Astyanax mexicanus: one gene and its partner. The protein of the gene in region 1 interacts with the protein of each later gene in a pairwise test. Links are inferred from orthologs where the notes say so. Each region holds a gene or a part of one and is shown on either strand. Other genes may lie near its edges.

The links. The genes of interacting proteins can lie anywhere in the genome.
Region 2: the proteins of gabarapl2 (region 1) and mlx interact in binary tests that used the Homo sapiens proteins (3 or more experiments, as listed by UniProt). The two-hybrid records come from large-scale screens. The link is inferred for Astyanax mexicanus from reciprocal best matches to the Homo sapiens genes GABARAPL2 and MLX.

Annotation. Positions count from the first base shown.
Region 1 is NC_064417.1:10,972,050-10,982,810, reverse strand, and holds the start of gabarapl2 (gamma-aminobutyric acid receptor-associated protein-like 2), read left to right. Parts: upstream 1-6,457; 5' UTR 6,458-6,649; coding exon 6,650-6,683; intron 6,684-8,603; coding exon 8,604-8,659; intron 8,660-10,761. Other genes in the region: tmem231 (transmembrane protein 231), read right to left, coding at 3,078-3,159, 3,240-3,383, 3,848-3,976, 4,321-4,487, 4,715-4,853. UniProt on the Homo sapiens protein: Ubiquitin-like modifier involved in intra-Golgi traffic. Modulates intra-Golgi transport through coupling between NSF activity and SNAREs activation. It first stimulates the ATPase activity of NSF which in turn stimulates the association with GOSR1.
Region 2 is NC_064426.1:23,205,999-23,215,712, reverse strand, and holds the start of mlx (max-like protein X), read left to right. Parts: upstream 1-5,501; 5' UTR 5,502-5,598; coding exon 5,599-5,640; intron 5,641-8,806; coding exon 8,807-8,846; intron 8,847-9,714. Other genes in the region: fmnl1a (formin-like protein 1), read right to left, coding at 1,423-1,587. UniProt on the Homo sapiens protein: Transcription regulator. Forms a sequence-specific DNA-binding protein complex with MAD1, MAD4, MNT, WBSCR14 and MLXIP which recognizes the core sequence 5'-CACGTG-3'. The TCFL4-MAD1, TCFL4-MAD4, TCFL4-WBSCR14 complexes are transcriptional repressors.

The DNA.
Region 1 (10,761 bases):
AGCGGGGAGAGCATGGAGGTAAATACCTATGAATAAGATCAAAAATATAGGTGGGAGGCAGGTCATGCAATAGCAGGCTGTGCAAAGAAACTAAATAAGTATCCTATCATCCTTAATCTGCCTTGGCAACTTTCAGGAATTTGTTCCTTTTACACTCGAGTTAGAATATCCAGTCAGCTCATATTAAATAGTTTAATGTTGTATCGTTTTTTGGTCTGAAGTAGCAACTTCTGTGAACACTGATCATTAAGTAGTAAGATATGGAATCCTAAAAGTTCAGCAGGCTATTAAACGTTGTTAGCTAAGTTAGCAGTGTTGCTTTTTTATGATTTGCTCTTAACAGTTAATTCCTTCTGGGTTGTCTTCTATTAAGCACACTTTGGAATATGGAATTGCAGCATCCCAAGCCCATTTGTTATTAAACCCCAGAACCTACTCATCTAACCACCACAGCACCATCCATCTGTTATCAAACCCCAGAACCTACTAATATAACCAGCACAGCACCATCCATCTGTTATCAAACCCCAGAACCTACTAATATAACCAGCACAGCACCATCCATCTGTTATCAAACCCCAGAACCTCATAATCTAACCAGCACAGCGCCATCCATCTGTTATCAAACCCTAGAACCTCCTAATCTAACCATCACAGCACCGTCCACCTGTTATCAAACCCCAGAACCTATTAATCTAACCAGCACAGCACCGTCCATCTGTTATCAAACCCAGAACCTACTAATCTAACCAGCACAGCCCCATCCATCTGTTATCAAACCTCAAAACATACTAATCTAACCAGCACAGCGCCAACCATCTGTTATCAAACCCCAGAACCTATTAATCTAACCAACACAGCACCGTCCATTTGTTATCAAACATCAGGTATTAATTCAGCTTGGAAAACAGATTGCATAAAATTTTAAAAATTGTTATTATGATTACCATAATAATAATTATTATTACTATAACACTAATAATATAATTTTATTGATAGGCATCTTTCACACATAGAAACACAAAAGTCAACATCACAAATATAATATAGTAAAACAAAGACAAAATAAAATCTAAAAACTAGATAACTAGACTAAAAACCAGACAAAATAGTAACGAAAACATGTAAATAAAATATATAAAAGAGGCTGTATGTACAACCATGAATTTATCCATTTTAAGTCACAGATCCTGTGGGAAGGTACCCAAAAAGTTTTTAGTTGTTTTTAAAAGAGAAGAGGGAAGTAATCGAACAGAGATCTATCTACAAAAGTGCGTAATCAGGTATGCAGAACAGGAAGCAGACTTTTGTCAGCAGAGCGGGGAGAGCATGGAGGTCAATACCTATGAATAAGATCAGAAATGTAGGTGGGAGGCAGGAAGAAACTAAATAAGTATCCTATCTTCCTTAATCTGCCTTGGCAACTTTCAGGAATTTGTTCCTTTTACATTCGAGTTAGAATATCCAGTCAGCTGGTTTAATGTCGTATCATTTTTCGGTCTGAAGTAGCAACTTCTGTGAACACTGATCATTAAGTAGTAAGATATGGAATCCTAAAAGTTCAGCAGGCTATTAAACATTGTGTACAGCTATTTGGCAGCATGTTTTGGGGACACCACATAGCTATTAGCTAATTTAGCAGTGTTGCTTTTTTATGATTTGCTCTTAACAGTTGTTTCCTTCTGGGTTGTCTTACATTAAGCACACTTTGGGTGAAACAGCGACAGATTGTGTGATCTGACACTGATGTACCTTGACTTTGGAATTTACGTCTAAATTCTTTGGGAGTTGTATTTGGCAATTCGGTTACAATTCATATTACTCTCTCAATTTGTCATTAATTTTCCTCGTCCTGGGAGGTTGGCTACAGTCCTTTAGATCTTAACTTTCTGAATAACATGTGCAACTGTAGTAGCAGGAACATCAAGCTGCTTGGAAATGGTCTTACTTTACCCTACACATGTTTGTCTATCATTTTCTTTTCTTAGCTTTCTGTACTGGTGTGATGGTGATGTTCATTGTGGTACACACCAACATACCAATCAGCACAGTAACTGCATCATGTCTGTGACCCACTGACATCACTAACCCTTTGCCCTCTTCTTTTGTGATGCTTTTCCAGGCAGTGTGTTTTGGGTCAATATCTTGCTGAATGAAGAAGAATCTTCCATTCAGTTTGGTTTCATCATTCTTTAAATTCACAGACAAAATGTTTCTGTAGACCTCAGAGTTCACTTTGCATCAATGAATATTAATGAATCTGTCCCAGAATAAATAATTCAAGCCCAAATCATAACACTACCTCCATTGTGTTTCAGATATGAGCTGGTATGTTTAGAAACAGGTCCTTTTTTTTTTTTTTCCAAACTTGCCTTTCTATCAAATTAGTAAACGTTAATCTTTGTCTCATTAGTCCACAGGCTTGGCTTTGTACTCTGGTAAATTCCAGCCTGGCCTTTCTATTCACCTCATTAATAGTGTTTTTTATTTTCTAGTGAAGCCTCTGTGTTCATGAAGTCTTCAGTGAACAGTAGATTGTGATACCTTCACCCCTGCCTTGTGGAGGTTGCTGCTGATGTCACTAAAAATTATTTCTTCACAGCACTCGCAATGTTCCTGTCATCCACTGCTGCAGTTTTTTACTTGGTGTACCTGTTAACATCTGTTATTTAGTACACCAGTGACGAATTTCTTCTTCAAGACATTCAAAACTGTTGTTCTGGCTATGGACAATATGTGTGCAATGGTTCTGATAGATTTTCCATTTTCTCTCAGTTTCACAGTTGCTTGTTTTTTACTCATAGACAGCTGGTTTTCATGTTGGTTACTTCTCTAACTTTAAATGCACAGTCTGCAGATCTGAAACTGAGTGTAGACATTCTGTGCTATTTATTGTTTGAATAAAATACTTTTGAAGGGCACTGTATAAGCGTCTCAACGGGCATTAAATGTGAGTTACGACTGAACATTTACATTTGAATTAAGGAGAAAAACTGAATTAAGGAGGAATATTTGCTTTGGAAACTATCAATTTACAACACAGACATATACAAATACATATAAACACTTTCTCTTACAGTTTCTTGCTTGATAGGCTCTGATGATGCTGGCCAAGTCATAGGAAGTAGCGAAGGGACTCCCTGTTTCGACCACTGACACCTAAAAAGAAATATAGCACGTAAACACACCTACAAAAAGCATTTAAAAGTGTGGTGTAAAGTATGAACACAAACTCTCACATTGTAGGCAGCATGTAGACCTCTGTGTGGCAGTGGGATCTGTTGGTGGAGCCTCAGGTCCCCATTGATGAACAGCTGTGATCCAGGAACGGAGGAGGAGTGCTGAATAAAGGCCATAGACTGCATCACTACAGTGGACATCCGCTACAAAAAGAGTGACATGAATTCAACCTGACAGTTCCACTTGTTCAATCAAGTGAAAAAAAAAATTGCAAATGCAGTGAGAAAAGCATCAGAAATATGTATGGCACAACAACCCAGTGTTTTGTTTACTAATGTTTGTTGGAGTGTGGAGTGTATTTTTTGATGATTGTTGGTTGGTTCGATGGCAGCTATTGACACCTGATGTTTGTTGCTATGTAATATTGTATGATGCAAACTGATTACATTTGATGGCATTACCTAGTGTCTGCTGGCATTTGTAAGTGTTTTATTATATATTTGGTATTAGAGTTTTTTGTAGAGTTGAGGTGATTTCTGCCATTGGACTGTATTTGGCGTAGGGTGGCATTTGCTTGTGTTTGTGGGATTTTGTTGAATAATTTTGGGACAGTTTGCCCTAAATTAAGGGTTAGGGTGTGTTTTTGTGGTACTGTGCTGATACACACAAACAACTGGTATGAGAAGGTGAGGAGTAGCTGAATGCTGTAAATCTGCTCTTCTGCTTTCAGTGGAACACTGAGCTGGAGACGCAGCCGGTCTGATTTTCCATCCTGATTGCTGTCCTCCTCCTTGACCTGCAAAACACAAACATGTGCTTTTAAACATAATACACTTATTTCATATGCCCACACCCACTGTCAAAAGTTTGTTTCTTCCACCTTTGTACTGTCTATCTAGCTGTGTTAACCGAACACTCCAAAAGCTATTTAGTTATTTGGAGCTACTCAGACCAAAGCTATCTAGTGTTGGTGAGGCACCATAAAAATTATATCCACCGCCTTCCAAAGAAAAGAACCTGTGTTTATGAGTAAATAACATTTTGTTTGTGATGCTCTGGTGAACTCTGGGAACATGTTGTGTGCTAGCTAGTTTGTGGTATTCAAACTTTTGTGTACATTTCTGTGTCTGTAGTACTTACAGACACTGCAGGGATGCGAAGGTTGCTTCCCAGCAGACGGTTAAAGTCAGGAAAAGTGCTCCACGCCACAAATTCTCCTGCTGTTCCAGTGGCTCCAATCATTAACATCTGGTACTGGAACTGCACAACCGGCTGCTCCTCATATGTGCTTCTCTTCAGCCAGAATCCTGCAAACAAAGAAAAAAAACATCAGTTACTGATGAAATGCTGCACTGTATTGGAGGTGTCAGTCAGTAAAGCCATGCACTGTTTAACATGAGCTCCTGGAGTTCATAAGCTAGTCAGCACAGCCAGTATATTAAGTAAGTCCATGAGCAAGTTCACGGGGTTAATATACTAAATTCTTACAGTATACCAGCTGTATTAATGAGGTGCTGCTGTAGTGAACACTTACCTTGGCTCTTGTAGGCGACCAGCAGTGGCGGGATGTACGTAAGACAGAAAACCATCAGCACGAACAGGGTGGCGCGAGTACACACATTGGTTTTATATCTTATTAAAGCAGGGTGGGAGTACACTTCATAAAAAGCCATCACTGAAACCCTCCTCGCTGTTCTGAACTCGCTCTGAAGAACAGTTCTAAACTCGCTCTGAAGAACAGTTAAAACCTACTGAGAAATAACAGTGGGGCTGTTCTGGTTAGCATTGGTTAAGGTTAAGCTGTAATGGAGATGTGTTAAGGTGTGTTGTGTGCTGTAGAATCGGTTTCTCTCGTATTTAATTCGGATTAAATGTACTGTATCTATCAGTTCGGCCGCAGACGTGCAGTGCCTAATTCGGGTTTAAAAGCCATGCTAATGCTAATGCTAACGGTAACTGCTCCTGAAGCGAAGCGTCCCAGCGTTACCATGACCGCCTCCAGGAAACAGAAAGCGAACATCCGCCCACAGTTACCATGGCCACCCACGCCCCACCCCCTCTGTTGTCAAATATATTTATTATTCCACCTCTTAGCAAAAAACTTAAATCATACCAAAATAAAGCTACCATTTAAAACAGATTTATTACTTTTTTTTTTGCAACGTTTTAAAAAAGGTCCCAGGAAGGAACATTACAGATAGTGTTCCAGGAATGTTATTTTAACGTGATGTGCAGGAGAAACACGTACACAAAAGTGTTATATTCTGTATTTAATCACCACAGAACATATAGGTGATTTAAAAATGAACTCTGCCACTGAAAATCAAGCTAAGAAGCTGAAGCCCAAATATGGGCATAACAAAGGCCACAGAATTACCAGTATTTATAACATACTCATTAACCAATAAATAGCCTTAATAGTATATTAGGCCTAATTTTTTTTTTTATGACAATATTTAAAACAATGGTTAGAGACAAACGTCTGGACATAGCTCTCCTGGTTTCTGGTATACTGTGTGTGAAACTGATCTGATTACTGAATTGGACATTTCAGACTATTTGGTCCACTTGATTTCATGACTGATTAGAATGCAAGACAATTATTAATACGATAAATAAAATAAAGGACAATAAAAAAAACATATATACAATGATAATTTACATTTAACAAACATGTCCTAATAAAAGGTTTTCCAGACATATATTCAGAATTATGGTGAACGTACATTATTTTTTTTTTCAATTGCTAAACAATATGAAAAGCCCATATTCAGTTGTAAGGATAAATATAAATGTAAAAAAAAAAAAAACAAGCCTGTAGGCCACCCTCCCACTTATATCAAAGAACACTAACACTAAACCTTATATATATATATATATATATATATATATATATATATATATATATATATATATATATATATATATATATATATATATATATATATATATAATATTGATTATACAACCTTTATCTAACATTGGCTACCTGAATTGAATCAACGTTCACTTAAAGGTTTTAAATGATTAAGGCTCTTTTAACACTTTTCAAGTTAATGCTTTTTAGGATAAAGGTGCTTCCCACAAATAATAAAACTATGTGTTATAATATGAATTATGCGTTAAATGTATATTTCAAGCTTAATATAATACAAACAATATTTACATATTTACAAATCAAAATCTTTGGGGAATGTGGTTGGTCACCGGGTGCAGGATTTAACCCGAGTCCTGTTTCGGCACATCCCCCACAGAGCTGGTTGGTATGACCTGCATGACGTCAGCCGTCCGTCCAGCAGTGCTAAAGCTAATGCTAGTGCTAAGGCTAATGCAGGCGGAGTGTTGACACCGCTGCTGTTTTCAGGATAATCTCCGTTTCTGTCTCTTTCTGCTCGGGTTATTCTTGCAGCTCCTGTACACTGATTCATTGTTTCACCGCACTGGGAGAGGGCCGCCCGAATCCGCCACCATGAAATGGATGTTTAAAGAAGATCATTCTCTGGGTAATTCTGTTTAATCTGATATAAAACTGACTTTTATCAAACCCACACAGACCCGCGCTCATTATTCACCGCCAGTAAACACCAGCCTCAGATAATGTGGAGATCTGTACCTGCATGTCTGAATACTAGGGGCTGGTCGTAATCATGTTTACATTGTTAGGCCGTGCGTGTGTGTGTGTGTGTGTGTGTGTGTGTGTGTGTGTGTGTGTGTGTGTGTGTGTGTGTGTTAAAACGTTATTAGCTAGACGTAGGGTAAATAACTACACCACCCCTTCACTGACCCAAAATAAACCATCTTACTATAGAAAAGCGATCACACCTTTATTCAGAACTGCTGTCTGTTTAAAGATCCCATGTTGCTCTCCATGATCTATTTTAACACTGATTTTTGCATTGGTGCAAGGGAATATACTTGTTGTTATTTTTCCCCAACCTCTCTTTATAAATGCACTCATTTTATTCAAAAGAGACGATTTTCTGTCATGTGGAACTAGAAAATACTTGAATAAAGTATTATCTCATGTCACACTTATCAATATGTTACAGACGACCAATTGATATTCAGTAGCTCAATATTGATTATCAATATAACATCCTGAGTTCTTGTGGCCAGTGTGTGCTAAAGTGCAGTTATTAAAGTGTGTCTTCAGGACAATGCCAGCCTCTCTGACACTAATGCCCACTGATGCTCAGAGATCATTATCAGCAGAGCTTATAGCCACGCTTCTTTTATTATAAGCATACAATAGCCTAAAGTGTTTTATTGTAACAAAACAAAAACAGTAGAACAAATTTTTGCATCCATCTGATCTGATAATTAAACTATATAGCCTTTTAATTTATTATTTGTATTAAATTGTATTTTAATTCTAAAAGCTGCTGACAAATGATTTTTGTTTTTGTATAGTTTTTACAACTTATGTTACCAAGCATTTTTACAGAACTCCCAAGAAGCCTGTAGCCTTGTACTGATATATTTTTGTTTTAATTTTATTATTTATCTTTAAGATCGAGTAAGTCTCAGGTTATCATTTTTAATAGTCTATTTTTAATTTAATTCAATTCAATTCAATTTAATATTTATACTGTTGATCCTGAAATCATTAGACTGGCAGACTCTATCCCGGTATTGATTTCTTTATTGTTTACTGTGGACAGGTTAAGAGTCTGCACATTAGTGTTTGAGCTAAGTGCTTGGACAAGAATGTTTGAGCAGCATTTTCTGCTGTTAGACTGTAATACATCTTCAAACTAGAGAGAAAAATAGGCTAATAACAAGCTCTCTTGCCTGTTCTTATTAAAGTCTCTGCAAATATAATTGCTTTTCCAGACCGGTTTGTGCACTCGTTTAACCTTTGAAGAAAGCTGAGCTGATAAAACAAGCATATTATTTAATATTTCTTGACTGATTGCTGTTTTTATTTGAATTAAATTTACTGACATATTTTTAAACAGCTCTTAACCTGCATTCTCCTGTTCTTCCTCTGAGCTTCACTTACAGCTTCTGTGTTGGGTTGCCAACAAGAACCAGTGTTTAAATAACACTCTTTAATTTTTATTCAGTGTTTTATAGTGTTCTGTATCAGAGCACTACTGTATATACACACTATGTGCTTGCATAAATGAAACAAAATAATGCATTCAGCATTACTTATTATGCTTGGTATTAGGATAGGGATGTTAGCTGGGGTATCTTTTTGTTTACCAAAGCACTGGCTACCTTTCTATGCGTACCATTCGAATCACATGTGATTTACTGCTGTGACTTCCATATGACATTAACACAGTACTGTCAAAACACTGCATGACACGCCGATAAATTGGAAAAGTGCTTTGCGTCATAAAGCACCTGCTTACATCAGTGTGCAGTGCAGGCATCGGTGATTCTCCTAATCATATTTTCTCGTTTCTTATCTTTAGAGCACCGGTGTGTGGAATCGGCCAAAATCCGCAACAAGTACCCTGATAGAGTTCCAGTGAGTATTAATACTAATCAACATCATGGACTTAGAGATCATTATTCTTCTACCTCAGTGTATTTCACTATGTCTGTACATGTATTGTGTGAAACCACTGTTTGATATCCCAATATTGATGTGAAATAAGATAAATAAAGATCCTCAATCAGTTTAAGCTTAAGAGTTTTTCTCAGGCTGAAGATTAAGTTTGATGTGCGTGTTAACAGTGGACTTCTACCTCACCTTGTCTAACTAGTTATGTCACATGAGTACAGTCTGTAGCATTAAGGGCTCCATTTGTGTTTATGGTGAAAACTGTGATAACAATGAAAGTAAAATTTGTCTCACTGCCCTAATATAGAAGAAATGCCACTAAACTCCAGTGCTTTTATAGAACACCAGTGGCCTAAACAGTCGTCTAAAACTGCTAAAGCCCTTTAGCCCCACAATGAACAGATCCACTGGTCTGTTTAGGGTGAAATGTTGAGGTTTGTTCAGTGCACAGTAGTGCTAGCTTAGCCTGTTGCAACATTCCTACACTACACTGACATGCCAACTGTGATGGGACGTAACTAATTTTGTGTCCCATGACTTTTGCCATGTCCTATGGAAGCTAAAGAACGCTGCACTGACCTGTGAGATGTGTGTGTGGGGCCTCCTGCATTAAATGTAGATGTCATTTCTGCCAGAGTGACCTTTCACACGGTTTAACGGTCTACATGTTAAATTATAAAATCAAGAATGTGTAAATACAACTTTGTAAATTGAACTTATCATTCATCTAACACCCACTATCAGGTCCTAAACTTGTTGCCTTGTCATAAGAATGCTGGTTAAAGTTCAACTTACAGTGCTCTCCATAATTATTGGCACCCCTGGTTAAGATGTGTTCTTTAGCTTCTCATAAATTGAGTTTTGTTCAAAATAATATAGGACCACGATGGAAAAAAAGAGTAAAATACAACCTTTAACTCAAGTGAATTTATTCAGTAGGAAAAAAATCCCACATTAAGAAATAATTATTTAACATCAAATCATGTGTGCCACAATTATTAGCACCCCTGATGTTAATACTTCGTACAACCCCCTTTTGCCAACAAAACAGCACCTAATCTTCTCCTGTAATGTTTCACAAGATGGGAGAATACAGAAAGAGGGATCTTTGACCATTCTTCTTTGCACATTCTCTCTAAATCATCCAACGACCTGGGTCCTCTCCTCTGCACTCTCCTCTTCAGCTCACCCCACAGGTTTTCAATGGGGTTGAGGTCTGGGGACTGAGATGGCCATGGGAGGAGCTTGATTCTGTGTGCGGTGAACCATTTCTGTGTAGATTTGGCCACATGTTTAGGGTCATTATCTTGCTGAAAGACCCAGTGACGACCCATCTTCAGCTTTCGGGCAGAAGCCACCAGATTTTGTTTTAAAATGTCCTGGTATTTTAGAGCATTCATGATGCCATGCACCCTAACAAGGTTCCCAGGGCCTTTAGAAGAGAAACAGGCCCACAGCATCACTGATCCCCCGCCGTATTTCACAGTGGGCATGAGGTGCTTTTCTGCATACTCAGCTCTTGTGTTACGCCAGACCCACTTAGAGCATTTGTTGCCAAAAAGCTCTATCTTTGTTTCATCTGACCAAAGCACACGGTCCCAGTTGAAGTCCCAGTACCGCTTAGCAAACTCCAAACGTTTGCGTTTATGATTGTGAGTGAGAAATGGTTTCTTCCGTGCATGCCTCCCAAACAGCTTGTTGGCATGTAGATAGCGCCTGATGGTTGTTTTGGAGACTTTGTGACCCCAAGAAGCTACCATTTGTTGCAATTCTGTAACAGTGAGCTTTGGAGAACTTTTTATTTCTCTTATCATCCTCCTCACTGTGCGTGGTGGCAAAATAAACTTGCGTCCTCGTCCAGGCTTGTTTACCACTGTTCCAGTTGTTTTAAACTTCTTAATAATTCCTCTGACAGTAGATATGGACAGGTGTAGGCGAGTAGCGATTTTCTTGTAGCCATTGCCTGACTTGTGAAGGTCAACACACATCTGCCTCACTTGAATGGTATGTTCCTTTGTATTTCCCATGTTGAAGATAAATGGCCTCTGTGTCACGTCATATTTATA
Region 2 (9,714 bases), on another chromosome or scaffold:
GCACTTAGCCTGGACTTCATCTTTATCTGTACACATCTGGGCTGTATTCCTGCACAGTTTTGTACTTTTCCTGTGTAACCACACCTGATTCATCTCACCCCTTTAATTAGTACGTTTAGAGAGTGCATTAAAGCAGGGAAATCACCCAAAACTACTGAACCCTGGCCATTAAGTCTCCTCTCCCGCTGTTGATTCACTGTGAAAAACCTCGTTAATACACAGCTAATCACCTACTTTCTCTAGACAAGGCCTAACTAGTACCCAAATGGGTCAAATGAGTCCACAGCAAACGAAAGCAAAAGGTATTTAACAAAAAAATCAATTTAAATGCATAAGTTATATAATATGTACTAATATTAAATTACTAATTGCAGATTTATATTGGTTTTTATATTTTTGTCTAATATTCTAAAATAAAATGCTGTAAATGCTATTTGTTTGTAGTGAGATATTTAACATTAGAATAAGATTTGGTTACTTAGTAATTAAACCGCCTGTGGTTTCAGGACATTTACATGATACACAGTACCAGTCAAAACTCTGGACACATCTTCTCATTTAAAGTATTCGGTGAAGAAGTTAGGTGGGCTCTTATCTCTTATGGGATAACTCTTTGTCTTCCTTGTTTTAGGGTGGTCCTGATGAGAGCCACTTTCATCATAACATTTTTGATGTTTTTTGCGACTACACCTAAAGATGCTTTTAAAGTTCTTATACTTTTTGGGATTGACTGACCTTCAACAACAAGGCAATGGCAGATTAGAAATGTTCAAATATCCAAAATAAATAAAACATAAATCAAATAAAAACACTGTTTTAAAACAAAGTCAACACACTGGCTCATTTAGACTAATAGGCTCTGATAAATAAATAAACACAATGGATAAAATTGAAAAAAAAAAAAAAATCAGCAAAAATGAAATAGGTTGTTAATGTAAGTTAGATCCACTGTTTGTTTGTCTGTTTAAAGTGGGTTCTTTAACTTTTGTTATCTGATATTTACTAAACCACCTGTATTTTCAGGAGCTTTATACAGTATTTATCTTATACATGTAGGCATATCTGGGCTATTATTTATCATTTGGTTGTGAGGCCTAAAATATATCTACATATTTTATAAGCGAAATAAGGGACTTAAGATATATTTGCAGGAATCAGGAGTGTATGTGTTTAATGTACTTTTGCACATGGTGAGAATATTTAGTCATGGTTGTACATTGTTCTTTTTGCTCTTCTTGCTTGTTTGATGTGTGTTTGATTGTCGTGTAAAGTTTTACTTCGGTATTAAACTGTCCTATTTGTGTCTTTAATCATTATGTATCCTTTTAAAACAATTAATATTTGATTGTTCTTGTTTACATCTAAACATATGTGGGCGTTCTTTCTTTTTGTTCCATCACTGTTCATGTGTGAATCACTCACCAAAACCACATTGAAGCGCTCCTCTAGTTCCTCCTCGGGGGGCATGGGGAGTTTGGGTGGGGCCGTTTTCTTCTTTATTGTGCCAGGTAAGGGACTGGTCCCACCCAACGAGGCCCGGGCCTCCTGGCCCTCCGGCTGCTCTAGGCCACCTGCCGCATTACCCATCACTACCTTCCGAAAGTATTCCAGGATCCCAACCTCCAGCAAGTGACAATTCCCACAGCAAACGGCTTCTGACCAATCACGGCCAGTCAACTCTTAAAGATCAAATCCAATGCCTTTTTCGAAAGTTTACGAATCTCCACAATGTTCTTTGGTTCGGTCAGGTCCAAAAAAGTGGCTGAAGCATTTCTTTTATGACATGCTGTCAAAAACAGCAAGAGCAGGAGGAAAGATCAAAGGGAAAAAGTAGCAAAAAAACAAAAATAATCAGAATTTTGTAATCTTGTACTCTACCGATAAAAAAAAATAGGGTTTTACCATCAATTTAATGCATAAGAAGCAAAACACACAGTCCTATATTGAGCAATCTCCTGTTCGTTTCAAAATGGAGGGAAAAACACACCAGACACACATATGTATGCAAAAAACACTGTGTCTGGAAAAAAGGGAAGCAGAAATGCCACTTACAATGCTAACATTCACTTTATGAACAATAGCTGTCCTTCAGGCAAAGTGAATCAAGTTTTGAATGCCCTCCAGCTGTTCAGTAACGTTGCTCAGCACTAGGCCTCTGTCTGCTCATCCTCTGGTTGAGAGTGACGCACGCTGAAGCATCTTTCTTCATCCTTTCAGTAACATCCACTGTCTGTCCAACAACACTGAAGTTTATCCTCGAAAAGATAGGAAGTGTGAACGAAGAAGAGAAGAAGACACCTGTCCGAATGTTAAACTTCTAGTGGGCTCTGGTGTGTGTGTGTGTGTGTGTGTCTCCTTGTTTGAAAAAACGTTTAGCGTTTAGTGACAAGGGAGGGTTGAAGTGCAAGAGGAGGAAACCACAGAAAAAAGCAGAAGCAACAGACGCTTCCTGAAAACGATGCGCAAGAGAAACTGAGAGAGAGAGAGAAAAAGAGCAAGAGAAGAGGCTGAAAGCCAGAGCAAGAGAAAGAAAGAGAGAGAAAAAATCGTAATAGATGTGACATAGTACTAACTTCAAGCTGAAAGATAAACTGGTGTTGGTCTTTATTAATTATTAAATATGTGCAAAAGAAGGTTTGGCCTTGTGGAAAAACAAAAGTCATGTTGGCTAGATCTGGCCTTCTACCCACTTTTGACTTACTATATCTCCATAAACTTACCTCAGAATGCCACCGTGTGGTACATACACCATATTACCAAGAGAAGCAGCTCGTCTGTCTTGAGTTTGGTGATGTAAGGCTTGGGTGGAGCGGCTCAGCCATGGAACCCATTCCATGAAGGTCTTCACGCTCTACGCTGTTCTTGGGCTAATCTGACAGCCACATGAAGTTTGAAGGTCTGGAGTGATAGACTCTGCTGTAGAAAGTTGGAGATCCGTTGACTCCTGTCTCTGTTATTTTACATTGGCAGAGCGAGTTGCTTTTGTTCCCAGTTGCTTCCACTTTGTTATAATAGCACAGACAGTTGGCTGTGGAATATTTACTAGTGAGGAAATTTTGTGACTGGACTTGTTTCACAGGTACTGCATCCTATCACAGTAAAACACTGGAATTCACTGATTTCCTGATAGTGCCGCATTCTTTCACTAATGTTTGTAGAAGCAGTCTGCATGCCTAGGCCCTTGGTGTTATACACATGTGGATTTCCACCCTTAGTCTTACGTCAGAATGATAAAATTTGCATAGAACCACTCAGGCACCACCCTTCATACATCAACCCCTACCAGAGCCTCACCCAATAGATCAGTTGAAGATCTGCCACACTGAATGCGTTGGCTACAGGCAAAAGAAAGTCACATGTGGTGTTTTTTGGCTGCCAAGAACAACACATTCTTTTTTCAATGGCCATGTTTCAACAACAATCGCCAAGAAACTTCTGGTGTGTGCAAACCACTTCAAGGCAGACAGCTTTGAGAACCTTGGACAGTACACAGCAAGATTACCCAGCAGACTTTGTCTGAGGGAGGGATCTGTACCTGCTGTCCGTGGCAAGTCAGCAGAGTTTTGTTTCTATCTCAATTATGCATGAACTACCTTGCTCATGTTTTGCTATTTAGCACAAGCTGACATTAACATTACTGCTAGTCCTGCACATGAATTTAGTGAAACTAAGGAGAGATGGCAATGATAACCAAAAATAACAAGTAACAAGTTAATTAAATTAAAAAGCTGACTAACCCTTCAGGAACCACTTGCTGCATTCTTAAAGGTGTTTGTGCAGGTGTAACTTTGATTTTTTTTCCTTTTGTAAACGTCTAGCTTGGGAGTAACCATACAGGATTGTTTCAGATAGTTGCTGTCGGACCAAAATCATGGCTCTCTACAATAGTAAATGCAGCCTTTACCTTTTTTTGCTGATCCATTTGTCAAGTCATTTTGAAGGAGAGCAAGGAAAAGCTGGATTTGAGCAGCAAAAGCCCAACAGCGGCAGCCCAGCAAACAAGGACATTGTACCCACAACCCTGTGATCAATAACACAGTGCTCAAACCACTGAGCCACGCATCTTTTCCACATTAATAAAATATATATCATAAACACAGTTTTGTCAGTCAGTACTTCTGTACAACATCTTCTGTAAATCTGTATGTATAATTTATGTACAAAATAAATCAGCTAGTTTTAGTCTATAACTTTTTCTGTATATTCATGGAAGAAAAAGGACCCCAGGACATAAACACCACTTAAAAGAATGTGTGTTTATGTGGGTGTGCCCCTAAGCTTTCACTGCCTTAGGCAACTGCCCGTATCGACCCTGCCAGTAACCACCGCTGGAGCCGCGAGCGTGTCCAGAATAAGGAAGAATGATGAGAGGAACTGTTCAGACCCCCGTAGTGATAGTGATCTCTTCACCAAACTGCCATTACAGAGACATTTCAAGGCCAGCACCACCCACACAAAATATCACTTCAACATCTCCAGCCTCTTCCCTGGAGCAATCTGGCTTCTGAATGTCACCCCTGTCGCTCCCTACATACATAAATAATGTTTTCCAATGTAGTTCTATTCCAATATGAAAAAGTATAACAAAAGGTAAGTGTATTTATACAGTATTAATATACATTAATATATCAATATGCTCAATGTTTCTTGCTTTTATTTTTGTAAAACTTTATGTACCGTAATTTTTGGTCATTTTAAAGTGGGGTTCTGAGCTTACCGCATCCCGGGTCGGCAGAGTGTGCGGTGCTTCGCAGAGGTATCCAGCTGTTACCAGTTGAGCTTTTATTTTCTTTGTAACTGGTTTTAAAGCAAATTACATTCAACAAACCCCTTTTTTCGCCTATACATTTATATTAGACTTACCAATTAATTTTATGACAAGGATCTTGTGACTACTGTATTATTTTAAACCGTACGTACACCCTAAGAACATATTTTATGTACCGTGAACGCAGCACTGTTCACGGTACGTAACTATATTTGTGTACATGGCCTGTTTAATTAAAAGTGTGGCTCATAGCCATGTGCGGCTTGTAGTCAGGCTAATTATGTGTGGCCTGTATACAAACATTTTTTTTTAATTAGTGGGTGGGGCTTACAGTTGCGCTTAATAGCTCGAAAATTATGATATCTCAAAATGGATGCAGTATGTGGTTTAGCATTGTATTGCTGACATATGCAAGGCTTCCTGAAAGAGACATTGTCAGGAAGTTCTAAAGCCTCTATGTACTGCATACTGTATAAATTCAGCATTGATAGTACCTTTTCAGATGTGTAATTTCCAGAGCTGTCAAAAATATTAATAATTCCCTGAATATTTATGTAAAAGAACTTTGGATAAAACACTGACTTATTTTTCATAGTAATGTCAGAAGTTATTCCATAAAAAAATGTTTTATGTGAAGAGAATTTATGAATATCCAGATTTCCTCCTGCTGTGAGCTCTAAAACCTCTTTACCCTCCTCTGCTGGTGATAGAGGAGTGTGTCCCCGGGTTCTGACTCCTGATCAGCTGAGATCAGCAGCAGCAGACGGCGCTGTTCTCCAGCGCGCTCCCCTCAGCTCCTCATCCCGTGATCTTTCCGTGTTTCTTCCAAAATGACGGAGCCCAGCGCGTCGCCGGAGGATCCCTGGCACAAAGTAAGCAGACAGTTCAGCTGTTTAACTCCTGTAGAAGACAGTCAGGTGCTTTACTGATGTGATAAACCTGAGATTAGAGAATATAAGCGCTGGAATCAACTAACGTTACTTTCACTTTATGATGATCAATAGAAGACTAATAGTAAAGCTGGCTAAACAAAAGAAAACTTGGGGATCTGGCTCCTTTGTGTTTATCTACGTCATATTAGCGTTAGCCAACGTCTTCCCAGACTTATAACATGATTTATAACACTGTAGTAACTTATCAGACTGCGAATGATCACTGATATAACAATGATGTATCTCTATTTGGGATAGAGAATGTCCAGAAACGTCCATAAGTATAAATCCACTCCGGGATTTTGCTCCAACTGCGTGGACGCTGTAGCTGCAAGTAGACCCGCACAGGCTGTTGGAACAAAACCCTGGGATGGATTCGTATTTCTGGACCTGGATTAGCCAACTCTAGTAACAAGCTTAATGTCTTAGCTAGCTAACAAGCTATATTTGTAAATATATATTTCTAAATGATTTTAAATAAGCTCGTTTGTCTATATTGTACATTAAAATATACAACTTAGTACAGTATTGTACAACTAAAATATCCGCCTCATAAACTCTAAAATAACTTAAATAGCTAAATTAGGTAGTTAGTTAGCGTTAGCTAAGACTGTAAGTTAGCCTCTTCTCAAAACTCGGTGTTGTCACCGAGCTCAGCTGACCTACATTGGATTCGGAAACGCTAACTAGCTAAACTAACCTTAGTTTGGATTAGCTAGCTAGGTTAGCTTAGCTAGAAAACTTGTGTAAAAACGACATTCTTTACATATTTTGTAAAGTTTACTGTTAAGTAGCTTAGAAAGGAGAGTTTACTATTGTGTAAAACATGTTTACCTTACAGTGAGCTCTGTTTCACTTTTTAGGGGGTGCTTTGTTTTAGTTTAATACTTAGTGATACTGATATAAATTGTTAAACTAGCATTACTGACAGAAATTGGCTGTATAGCTAGATAGCTAGTTGGATACTTAAAGTGACACTAAGCCATATTTTTTTCATTAATAGATGAAATGTGTTCCTGAAAAGGCACAAAACGTATTAGTTTTGCTTAAATTTTGTATATACATTTCCTAACCAGGTTCAACTGTGCTATAGGCAAGGATGATGTGTCCGTGTACATTGGTATGCAGACACTTACAATATGCAGATAACACCTGTCAATAAATAATAACACCCCCCTGCTGAACTCAAACCATCTGGGTATCAAAGGCACACTGCTGTTGCTGCAGCTTAGCCTGTCAGCTCTCCCTTCTGCACCGCCTCTAAACCCAAACATCACCCAGTGCCATGCCCAAACTACCCCTCCCATTTTTTTTTTACTTTTTCAAGTTTGAAGTCAGCACAAATCTGTGCTTTAATGCGGTTTAATAAAGTGGTTGACTGTTTATCAAGGGATAGATGTGGGCAATATGGATGCACGATACTGGCACATATCTGACATTGCAATATGTTTTTTCTGCAAAATATATATTGTGATACAAATTTTACAAATTTTCACTAGATTTCACCAGGAAAGTCATAGGTCCAAAATAATTATATAAAGTGGTTTATTCTTCACTGTGCTAGAAAAGCTGTAAAGTTGATTGGCAGTTTTAATATTGTCAGATGTTTTTAGACAAATAATGCAATATTGCTCTAATATGCTGATTCTAAGAGCCGGTCAGATTATATTCTTTGTGCAAAGATCCTCTATCACATGATGATTACATTTCTTGGTAAAAAAAAAAAATGTATATGGAAATATAAGGCTTGTACATGGCTGCAGAATCGCATTGTATTGCGCCTCTTGAAGGGAGCAAGGCACACTATGCTGCCATCCTTGGTTGTTTTTTTTAGAGGCTCCCCTACAGACCAAGAGTAAATGTTCTCTGTCACAATGCTATTCCTCTGGTTCCATACCCTAGCCATGCATGATGTGTTGAGCACAATAGACTATTAAACATATCAGAAAAGGGTTTGTACATTGCATGTTTGGGGGAAAAAAAGTCAGAAAAGAGTTTTTTGAGTAGCAAGTGCGACAAGATCTTATACTGGATTCTGATTTTATATATTGTAAAATCCACTTCAAACCAAATTTGTGCCAAATAATGTGCTGTTTAGTAAAGTAAATACACATACCTGGACTAAACGTCACTTATGAAGCAAGCTTGCAAAATAGTTCATAATAATAGACAGGCAATATTAGAATTTTAGCTCTGGCTATTCGGAGAAGACTTGCACATCTATAACTATGGCCCTCTAGCAACTAGCCTGCCTCTTGCTTTTTGCTGAGGATATATGTAGCATTTGCCATAAAGCGAGACTGACTCTTGCAATGCCCAAGATTTTTTTTTCCCCTACAGACCAAAAGGGTGAAAAAGTGAGAAACTTCTTACGCTTCATAATTACCCATGTATTTATCTTAAACAGTATGAAATGCATTGATTAACTGAAAATGTTGCATGGTGTGCCTTTAATACCAGTAACCGGATTCCCCTCCTGAGGTCTTCAATTGGCATCAGCGATCCACCAAACGCATTGAAAGACAATCTGTAATCGGTGTAACCTCCCGTTTTTAGAGTGTATTTCTGCATTGTCTAAAGTCATTGCTGCATCCCTAATAATAATAATGCTATTTTGATAATGATGAAGCATGCTGTTAAAGGTTGATCTTCATCCACAGCTAAAATTGTCACAGTTTATCTTTATAATGCTAAATTATCATAATTTTAACCGAGCCCTATTCACTGGCATTGTAAGTGCAGGTACATTTAAGTGGCATTTCTCATTGTTAGCATTGTAAATGGCATTTATTATTCTCATCATTGCTGAAAGTGCCTTCGCTTTTATGGTTCCAGCGTTTTGTAAAGTAATAAAGCCGTCTCTGCCGGGCGTAGCGGGGTGCTAATGGTTATTTATTGAGGACATATCACAGTAGGGAGTACTGGTGTCCTAGATGCATGATGTGCCAGGTGTATAACTTTTAGTGCTGGCGGGTGGTTTGTATCGGTCTGTCTGTCTGTCTGTGTCTCTCTTTTCTTTACCGTTAAGAGAATTCTGTCATTTTGTCTGAATTAATCCGAGTGTTTATTTTTCCCTCGTCCTGAACTTCACCTCGCCATGGCTCAGCAGACGGACGGCACCTTTAGCGACAATGGCTTTGACCACAGTAAGTACTTAAGCCTGGCTTTAAGTGTGTGTCTATTTAAGCAGCCCTGAAAGGAGTGGTTTTATTAGTTTAGTGTTATTGTAGTAGTTCATTGGTTTTATTATGTCATATGTTTAATTAATTGGGTTTAGAAAAATGTAGTGTATAGTTTTATAGTTTTAGTGCTTGTATATCTTCACTGTTACAGATCAATAAATATGCAGAAGCAGAAAACCGTATTATCTTTTAATGAAAGTCAAAGTAAAAAAAAATTGGAGGAATTTTATTCCCTCATTAATTAATAGATGTTGACTTAAGGTAAATGACAATTAGATTCACATTATGTCATGAAGTAAAACATTTTATTATATATATATATATATATATATATATATATATATATATATATATATATATATATAAATGACTGTTTCCTTAATATAGCATACCTCAAAACAAAAAGACAATAAGGTAATATATATTAAAATATGTCAGAAAATAAATAGCAAATCTTAAATGTAAGGAAAAATGTTACCCTGTTATTTTATTTTCATTTAAAATATTAGAAAAATCAGTTGAACAAACCTTTGCATTATACTGTACATTAAGCTTAGTAACTATGTGTGTTATATAGGCTGCATATATAACATATATCACTGACCAAAATGGTAACCATGTAAATAATATAAATGCCATTTACTCAAAAGAAAATCAACAGCGTGCAGTTTGGTGGTAATAGATAAAAAAAATGGTTTAGTGGTTTTACAAAATTTTAAATCACCTATTTTTTTTTACTCTTACTTAACTTTTTTAACTTAGGAGGAAAACAATAAATATATTTCTTGGTTGTTTATGTTGGACATTGTCTTGTATTGTTTCCTCTTTTACA